Nothobranchius furzeri: one gene and its partner. The protein of the gene in region 1 interacts with the protein of each later gene in a pairwise test. Links are inferred from orthologs where the notes say so. Each region holds a gene or a part of one and is shown in the gene's direction. Other genes may lie near its edges.

What was found. The genes of interacting proteins can lie anywhere in the genome.
Region 2: the proteins of psmf1 (region 1) and fbxo7 interact in binary tests that used the Homo sapiens proteins (3 or more experiments, as listed by UniProt). The link is inferred for Nothobranchius furzeri from reciprocal best matches to the Homo sapiens genes PSMF1 and FBXO7.

What each region holds. Positions count from the first base shown.
Region 1 is NC_091743.1:68,639,777-68,644,067, reverse strand, and holds the end of psmf1 (proteasome inhibitor PI31 subunit), read left to right. Parts: intron 1-405; coding exon 406-603; intron 604-1,704; coding exon 1,705-1,761; intron 1,762-2,548; coding exon 2,549-2,710; intron 2,711-2,902; coding exon 2,903-2,954; 3' UTR 2,955-3,362; downstream 3,363-4,291. UniProt on the Homo sapiens protein: Plays an important role in control of proteasome function. Inhibits the hydrolysis of protein and peptide substrates by the 20S proteasome. Also inhibits the activation of the proteasome by the proteasome regulatory proteins PA700 and PA28.
Region 2 is NC_091741.1:31,395,942-31,401,745, reverse strand, and holds the start of fbxo7 (F-box only protein 7), read left to right. Parts: upstream 1-2,360; 5' UTR 2,361-3,477; coding exon 3,478-3,571; intron 3,572-3,609; exon of another isoform or gene 3,610-3,810; intron 3,811-4,004; coding exon 4,005-4,131; intron 4,132-4,230; coding exon 4,231-4,426; intron 4,427-5,804. UniProt on the Homo sapiens protein: Substrate recognition component of a SCF (SKP1-CUL1-F-box protein) E3 ubiquitin-protein ligase complex which mediates the ubiquitination and subsequent proteasomal degradation of target proteins and plays a role in several biological processes such as cell cycle, cell proliferation, or maintenance of chromosome stability.

The sequences.
Region 1 (4,291 bases):
TTCAGAGCAACCAATCATTCCTGTCAGACACCACTTCAAATGCATTGATTAAATGAGTTTCCCACACTTCTAAAACCTGTGACATAAGGAGGTGATTCCATTACACAAATGTAGAAAAACGGGAAGTCTTTCCAAACAATGTATGACATCAACTGATAAAATGTTTTAGCAAGTGATTTATATTTTATAAGACAAGTTGTCAATGAGACAGGAGTTATTGTGTTATTTTAATCTTCTATTTTGTGGACTTACATTTATTCACATTGACAAGTAACTTATTTCATTTGAACCATTTACATTTATTAATCTGTATTTAATAATGTAGAGAGGCCAGAATGTGAGAAAAACAAAGTATCATCTGTAAAGAGTTAAAGTTTCAGTTTTTTTTTTATTTATTTTTTGCAGTGTGTTCAAAGACATGGAGGGTTTGTCACAGATGGTGACGGCTCAGCTGCTGCCTCCCCAGAAGAAGGAGACGGAACAGAAAACAGAGAGGAAGAGTAGAAGAGATGAAGAAGATGAGGCACAAAGAAGAAGGGAAGAAGGCAGCAGCCCTCTCCGTATGCCCGGCGGACATCCTCACCAGGGAACACAGCCTCACTGGTTGGTCGTCACATACAGCTGATCAGTATTCTTCTCACATAAATTCAGAAACTGGTCTTATATAGTAACCTTGACCTGAAAGCTAAAACTGCCCAAATTATACAAACCAGACAGACAGAACAGTCACTCACTCCTCTTCGTCCTCCGTCCTGGTCAGATGAGAAGCGAGGTGATGTCAACAGCACTTTATTGACCTCATGCTGTCGCCTCCCCGCTCCTTGAGAGATGGAGTGTCAAGGGGGATTAGGAAGGACAAGGACTTGATTATGGCTAGACAAAAAAGATGAGAAGATGAGAGGCTGAAGTGAGGAGAAAACAGAGAAGTGGAAGAGAAATGAAGACATGATGAATGTGTAGACTGGGTTCGCTGCTGAGGGAGATGTTAGAAAGACGAGTGTGCACAGGGAGCAGAGGAGGAGGAGGTGATAGGACCAATACAGAACAGATGAAGGTTGGATAGAACATATAGAACATTTAAAAATACAGTATAGTACAGGGAAACGGAGTAATATTCTCCTGTTTGAATTTACCATCAGTCAAACACGGTGCTCAGTTTCTGGGTCGCTGACAATGCTCTAAAAATAAAGATTTGCATTTATAGTAAACTTTTATGATCAGCAACTGAAATTCTCTTTCCCAAAACTAAAGCACAGCGTTCTTTGTCTCATATTCAGATCTTATAATACATTGTCTCAAATTTCTGCCAAATGTGGCTGTTTTTGTTCCAAAGATGCTTAAAGCCATCTCTTCACATCCTGATTTCCCTGGAGTCTGCTGTGGAAATCCCAGCCGGCTGGAACTCTGTTGTTTTACTTCAGTGTTCTGATTAGTTTGTTAGAAAACAACAAAGCTAAGGCTATCTACTGAATATGTGCTAAAAAGTGGTATTAAAAGATCAAAAATTACACTCAACAGCCTTAAAATAAGTTATGTTTATCGCAAGAAAAGCAACAAAAGGTTTTTAAGAAATATTGGCAAATTTTAACCATAAAGGAAGTTATAAATATGCTAGATTTTAAATAGTTTCATGTTTGTTTTATAATTATTTTATTTTTAGGTTAAAGAAACCAGACTGACGTCTGTGCTTTTGTTTCTTTTCAGGCCCAATCCTTTGGATCCTCCGTTTGCAGTTGGAGGAGCAGACCTGGATCCTTTTGGGTGAGTCATATCATCCCTCAGTCCTAATTATTTTAGTGTTCTCTCAGAAAAAAAGGTATTAGCAAGACTCCGAAATAATCTGTATATTTTTAAGGAAAATTTAATGTCTTAACCCTGACTGGGGGCTCGGAGTAGAGCCGCTGCTCCTCTGCATCGATTCGAGCATCCAAGGTGGCCTCCCCCTGGAGGTTTTCCGGGCCCGTCTGGAAAGACCCAGAGCCCACTGTAGGTATTGTATCTATCCTGTCTGGCGTAGGAATATTTTGGGATTCCACAAAGAGAGCTGGGGACAGGAACGTCCAGGCTTCCCATATGGACCTGACGCCCCAGTGACTGGACCTCAGATAAGCGGAACAAGATGGATCCATGGATGGATCTTGGCACTTGACTAATTCAAACTGTATATTAAAATGTTTTTGACAACATTCATAAAGCATTTCTTTACTCACCTTCTAGAATTATGTTGGATTATAGTATCTTCACATACTTTTTCTCTGTCTCATTGTTCTTCTTGCCCGGTGTTCTGTTTTTGTTCATTTATTTCACCTTTAATATAAAACTCTAATCTCTGCTCTTGAAGGATTACTAATCTTTAGAATAAAAGACCAGTTGTTGGAGTTCATGCCGGTATAATCCAATCTCAGGTATAAGCCAATTTCACTCTGTAATTAAAACAGTTAGTTTGCTTTTAAACCGTCTTCTAACATCCATCCGTCATTTTTTGTTCCAATTTTTGTATTTGAGCTCAAAAATAACAAGGAAACAAAATTAATTTTATCCCCCCCAGAACTCGTGGTGGCGGCGGGATGATAGTCGACCCGTTGAGGTCGGGGTATCCTCGCTCCGGCTTTGACCCGTCTAGCGGCATACCAGACATCCTGCCTCCTGGAGCCGTTCCCCCAGGAGCGCGCTTCGACCCGTTTGGACCCATCGGACGTCACAGACCAGGGTGAGACGCAAACGATGCTCAGCAGACGACAACCTTGGGCTGACTTCTGGGTTCGCCCCAGAAAACGGATGCTTCAGATACATTTTTAGTTCTTTCTACAGTTTCTGGACTTTTTGTTCAGATTAAACTAAGAGAAACCAGAAGAGTAATGACAGCTTTCTGACTGCTTTCTCCTCTTTGCCTCGTTTTTAGGCCAGATCCAGACCACATGCCCCCACCTGGCTACGATGACATGTTCATGTAGTGCCCACCCGTGTTTCCTGCTTTTCAACTTTCTGCTTGCTACTGATCTAAAACTGGATCCAGTTCAGAGACCTGAAAGTTTCAATCTGCTCTGAAGAGGAGGGTTATTCTTCTCATTCCTCCACTCACACAACATTAAAACTTTGATTCGACTCACAGAAGAACCCGTTAGTGATGTAAAATATTAAGTCTGATTTTTAAAGAAACTTTAGTAAAAACAAAAAATCAGATTATTGTGGTAAACATGTTCATCTTAGACTCCTAGTTTCTTGTGACCTTCATTATTCTGAATAGCGATCACACTCCGTAACTGCTTTTGAAGGACAAACAGCTCAACATGCTGACAGAACAATATGGCTTTATAATTATTTCCTGCAAAAAGTTCAAATAAAAATGACTTTGAACCCTGTCGTGTTGCTGTTTTAAGCATTTCCTTTTATTTACTTCACACATTAGCAGCTTTCTATCCAAAGAGGGTTTCTCAGCTTTGCTTCTTAGAGGAAAAGTAAAAATGACCTTCAGTCCTAAATGGTCTAAATGGGAAGTTAAGATGAAGAGGTAAACTAAAAGAAGAAGAAATGGATGAAGATTATTATTTTTATTATTATTACATGGCTTTTTAAATTAAAATCACAAGTGCAATAAAATTATTTAAAAACCAACAGTGCTGTCACCAGCATGCTAGTACTTTTATTTATTTCAGGACCATAAAATCAACATTTTATGTTGAGGACGTCCCTTTAAACAAAGAAAGTTGGTGAGGATGACCTGAATGCTTCATCCTCTGAGAAGCATGAACGACCGAGTTAAGAGAAACACACCATAACAACCAGCTCTCAGTATGTTTATTGATCTGGAATCATATGTGAGTCTGTAGTTTCCCTCAGCATCATAATTTCCCATTTTCAGTGTGACCTACTAAACCTGATGAGGTTTCCATCGTCCGTTGCACAAAGGTGGCTGAACTTTTTTCATCTACATAAAACCCAGTGAATATATAAAAAACAAAGATGATTGGTTTAATAATCCAGTCACTGCAAATGTCTAAACTTTTGTGGATTTAAAAATTAACCTTTGTACAGGATTATAAACAGTGGTTTGTCTATCATGATGATTCATATCATTAAGAAGTTATATAAGCAAATTGTCACCAGAATCAGTTCAATTCAAAAATATTTTGTTAATCCCAGAGGGAAAATGATTGCTGTAGTAGCTCATAATAATAATAATAATCAAGTCGTTAAAGAGTTGTTGTATATTACAATGGCTGTTGGCAGGAAGGATCTCCAGTAGCGGTCAGTGTTGCAGCGAAACTGAAGAAGCCTCTGACTGAAGACA
Region 2 (5,804 bases), on another chromosome or scaffold:
TGACAACGCAGTTGCGTCTTTTAAAGCAACTGTTCAATCTTTACTGTCCTCAGCATCTCAGAGGCATGTAGCAGAGGGCAATATTCTCAGTTCTAGCCCCTCACAAATTGATGCCTTAGTTCATCATGTTAATTCCTCTTTACGTGTGGCATTAGATGATGTTGCCCCTTTAAAAAAGAAGGTAATTAGGGACAGGAAGTTGGCTCCCTGGTTTAACCTCATCTACGAGCCTTAAAACAAAACTCTAGGAAATTGGAGAGAACATGGCGCTCTACGCACCATGAGGACGCCTACCTATCCTGGAAAAATAGTCTTGTGCTTTATAAAAATAAGCTTCAACAAACTAGAACTGCTTATTTCTCAGCATTAATTGAGGAGAATAAGCATAATCCTAAATTTCTTTTCAGTACAGTTGCTAAACTTACACAGAATCATAGCTCTGAACCATCTATTCCCTTAGCCCTCAGCAGCAATGACTTCATGGGGTTTTTTACAAGTAAAATTAATTCTATTATAAACAAAATCTTAAGCATCCTCCCTAATGCGATTTCTTCTTCCTCAGTAAGTGAGGCAGCATCAGAGGTGACTGTAGAACCTCATCTGTGCTTGAACCGTTCTGATCCAGTTGAGCTTTCAGAGTTATCAAAAATATTAGCTTCATCTAAACCTTCAACTTGCATTTTGGATCCAATCCCAACCAAATTATTTAAAGAAGCATTTCCTTTGATTACATCTAGAATGGGGGCAGTAACCAATCTATCCTTAGTAAATGGGTATGTACCACAAGATTTTAAGGTTGCTGTAATCAAACCTTCACTTAAGAAGCCTTCTCTGGATCCAGATGACCCAATGAATTATAGACCAGTATCTAACCTTCCATTTTTATCCACAGTCCTGGAGAAAATAGTGGCCATCCAAGTATGTGAGCATTTAAACACTAATGCTCTGTTTGAGGAATTTCAGTCTGGTTTTAGAGAGTATCACAGCACTGAAACTGCATTAGTGAGAGTTACAAATGATATTCTCATGGCCTCAGATAAGAATCTTGTGTCTGTTCTAGTCTTGTTAGATCTCAGTGCTGCCTTTGACACAGTTGATCACAATGTTCTTTTAGAAAGACTTGAACATGTTGTAGGGATCAAAGGAACAGCGTTAGGCTGGTTTAAATCCTACCTGTCTGACAGATTTCATTTTGTAAATGTACATGACAAATCTTCTTCATACTCCAGGGTTACTTGTGGAGTACCACAGGGTTCAGTGCTTGGACCAATTCTTTTTACTATATATATGCTCCCAATTGGTAAAATCATTAGACAACATGGGATAAATCTCCACTGTTATGCTGACGATACCCAGTTATATTCATCCATTAACTCTGATGAACCTAATCGGTTGGGTAGATTACAGGCTTGTCTTGAGGACATACAAAATTGGATGACTCAAAACGTTTTGCTTTTAAATCAAGACAAGACGGAAGTTTTCATCTTTGGTCCTGAAATTCAGAAAAGGATTGCTTAGTCAATCACCTGACCTGAATGGCATTACATTAATCTCCGAGAACAAAGTAAGGAACCTTTGTGTTATCTTTGACCGGGACATGTCATTCAAATCCCACCTTAAGCAGGTTTGTAAGATTTCCTTTTTCCACCTTCGGAATATTGCTAAGATGAGAAGCATACTTTCCAGGAGTGATGCTGAAAAACTAGTTCCTGCATTTATTACATCAAGACTGGATTACTGTAATTCATTACTCTCAGGAAGTCCACAGAATGTAGTTAAAAGTCTTCAGCTTGTCCAAAATGCTGCAGCTGGAGTTCTGATGAGAATTAAAAAGAGAGATCATATCTCTCCTGTCTTAGCTTCCCTACATTGGCTACCTGTTAAATTCAGAATAGATTTTAAGATCCTTCTTCTCACATATAAAGCTCTTAATAATCAAGCTCCATCATACATCAGTGATCTGATTGTTCCATACGTTCCTAACCGAGCACTTCACTCTCAGACTGAAGGTCTACTGGTGGTTCCCAGAATATCTAAAATTATGATGGGAGGCAGATCTTTTAGTTATCAGGCTCCTCTCCTGTGGAACCAGCTCCCAGTCTTAGTCCGTGAGGCAGACACCTTGTCTACTTTTAAGAATAGGCTTAAAACATTTTTTATTTGATAGGGCCTATGGTTAAAATCTGATGTTAGCCTAAATAAGGACAAGTGGGGGAGTAGAGGGAGGTGGAGTGTACAGTCGGTAAAGACGGCTCTCCCTTGCCCTGCCTCCAATATGCCTCATTCTAAAAAGGCTAGGTTATCCAGAGTTATCTCTGTAGTTATGCTGCTATAGGCTTAGACTGCTGGAGGATACAATGACCACTTTCCACACTCACCTACTTTGTTCTACAATCTGCCCTTTAACTGTATTACTTCCTGCTATTTCAGCTGTTAACTTTATTTTCTCTCTAAGTGTTTTTCTCCCCAGAAGAAGCTACAATGATGTTCTGCTGAGCTGTGGTGGCCTCATGGAGGGGGCCATCGTCTAGCACACTGCTGCTAACCACTTAAACATTCTCCCTCTCCTGATAACTTTTTACTCTCTTTGATGTTGGATGTGCTACTACTAGTTTACCCGTTTAATTATAGATCCACTAGGATAAATACAATAAAGTTTATCTCTCACCAAATAGAATATTTACTAAGACATCACAATGTAACCACAGAATCAGAAACTTTTTTCTGATTGGCTTAATGAATTGACCTGTATTGGAATGGTTATTATGTGAAGTACCTTGAGACGACTCTTGTCGCGATTAGGCCCTATATAAATAAACTTGAATTTAATTAAATTAAAAGTTTAAATACATGAGGAGCTGGGACCTTGAGTGATTGGAAGACAAGAGGCAAGTGGGAGCAATTAACATGGACACAGAACTGAACGGAAACTGGGGAGACAAGACAAACTGTGACACATACATTGGTGATCTTAGTCCCTACACCCCCAGCATGTCCATGAGTTCCAGTGACCAAAGCCTACTGGTTGTGGAGCACCAGGCTAAAGACCAAAGGTGACAGATCATCTGCTGCTGTGGCCCCCAGACTCTGAACCTCTCTCCCCCTGAGCCTGAGATCAGTGGACTCAGTGGTCTCCTTTAAACTCACCCGTTAAGGCTTTGGTGGGACCTTCAACACCACCACCTTGTTCTTATTCTGCCTTTCCTGGAATCCACTGATTTCCCTCTTTCCTATAAAATTTCTCTCTCCCTTTCCATTATATATTTAATATAATGTTTACTTTTTTCTTTAATTTTAAACATATTTTTATTCTTTTTTTTTTACTTTTTAAATTTTATTAAATTTTTTTGTGAAGCTCCTCGTGATTTTTATGTTGAGAGGTGCTAAACTGTTCTGGGTCTTATTTTGAAAAGTCGAAGCGGAAATTACGTCTCTTCAGTTTCCGATGTTTCGTTTTCACTGATAGGAGAGAATTTCATGTTCTATTATAATGTGAGCTTTTCTCGGTTTACCTGTGAAGTTCTGGGACTTTCTGAAGATAACCCGCAGGTTTCACTAACTACCCGTCCAGGTTAGTTAGCTAGCTTGTCTCGTGCTACGCAGCAAATACGAAACGTTTGATATGAAAGGAAAACGAAATCGTCATTTTCCAGAAGCGATCGTTTATTTTACAGCACTGTCGTGCGTGCTTATTTCGTTATTATTATTGGAACCGTAATCTAACAGATTTTCATGACACTTCTTTGTTCGTAAGCTTTTTGGATAAACCTGTGAGTCTCTTACATGGTGGAGGTTGGAGTGTGACTAAAGGTGTGGACAGAAGTTGGTGCCATTCCCATGTAAACATTCTGTGCTTTAGGCGCATTTATTCATCTATAAGAACCGATTTTGGTTGGAATCCTGAATCTGAGGTTTAAAGTTCAGTTGCTATAAGTTGAACATGTTTTTTATGTAAGTAGAGGTCATGTGATCTTACGGAAGCCGGTGTGTTTTGTTTATTTCAGACAACATGAAGCTACGGGTCCGGATCAACAAGCAGACCAGCAGGGTGGACTTACCTGGAGAAGAACCCACTCTCACAGAACTCTCAGATGTCATCAAGCAGACACTGCTGACTTCTACTGGACTTGGGTCAGACTTCCGGATGGATCCATTTATTCTCTTTTTCTTGTCTCTTAACCAGCGTGTGTCCCAACGGCTCAATGCTCCGTTTTCTTCATCTCCTTTCAGTCTGAACACAGAATTCAGCTTGTCTCTGAACGGCTCTGAGCTTCTGTTGGACTCTGGTCAGACCCTGTCTTCCTTTGGGATCGTTTCTGGAGATCTGATCTGTGTGCTGCTCCGGCAGCCTCCAGCAGTCGCCGTGACCTCAGGGGAAACCAGCTCCACAGCCCCAATAACTGACGATCAGCAGACCGCCACTCAGGTGAGCTCACAGTGACGCAAAAGTGGGTACGCAGTGTATGCGACACATGGGGCGCCAAAGCAATGATGCAAGAACATTTTAGTCTGACGTTCCTCTGTTTAATAACAGCCGTGTTCTTGTCCATTTGTGTATCTGCTAATTATATCATTAATAAGAGAGAAGCACATCAGTGATTAGGCGCCCCTCCGCTTGTTAACCCCCCACACCAAAACAGCGCTCTGCCACCACACCACTACACTCTGGGGTTGGAGTAGATGGTTTTATACACGAGCCACAGAAGTTGTGCGTTTATTTATTTAAACGTTGTAGAAGCTAGTCGCACTAATGGAGCCCAGCTCTGGTGTCACAATGAGAGCTAACGTGAGCAGCTCCTGTCTAACGGGGACGGCGGGTGGAACCAGGCCCCAACTGGGGAAATTCCCGATGGCCCGGTTGAGTTCAGTGTTGTTGTTTTTTGGGCTGGTGTCACTCTAGATCACCTGCTGCTGATGAGAGGAGCTCTCCTGTCAGGCACTGGTGAGCTGCTGCCAACCCAAACCCAACCAGCTTCTGCTCCTAGGAACACGTTCTAGCTCAGACTGTAGTGACCTGTTATTTATAGTTTATAATTAATGTTAGGTATATTCCACAGCTGATGGAAAATGAGATTAAATAACCTGAACATGTTCTCCCACAGCTCAGCTCTGTTAGAAATGAGCAGATGTCTGCTTCAGCTGGACTACATCAAGTAGAAAAGTGTCCACAGATAACTGATCTTTAAACTTTAATATTGATTTTATTTCATTTCTAAGGTCTGGATGTCTGTGAACTAGGGCTGGGGGTAAACGATTATTTTTAAAACGATTATTCTGACGATTATTTTATCGAATAGTCGACTATTCTAATGATTATTTAGACGATTAATCTAACGATTATTTTTCTATTGCACAATTACTAAAAACCAGAAAATCTCAAATAAATTCCTCAAAAAACTTGATAAATGGTTACTGTAAGAGAATAAACACTACAGGCCTTCCATCTTGTATAACACTGCTTTTATTGTGTTGGTTGGTTATGTTCTGGTGACATGTAGAACGTGGGAGTGCAGGCTGCTGCCTGAGAGGTGGTAGAAGATGGAGTGTCTTCATGCTGCTTTGTTTTGGTCACTTATGAGTGTGAGGCGAGTGGTGTTACGACCCTTCCTGGGGAGTTTGGCTCGTGTGCAAAAATGAAGGGACAATAACGGGATTTAAAAGTTAAAATGATGATCGGGTTTATTTACAACAACAATAAAACAAATCTTTCCATCCACATGTTGGGAATAATAAAACTAATTCTGTCTGTGGGGAATTAAAACGAAAGTACAAATAACTAGGGATGTCCCACTGGGCAAAGATTA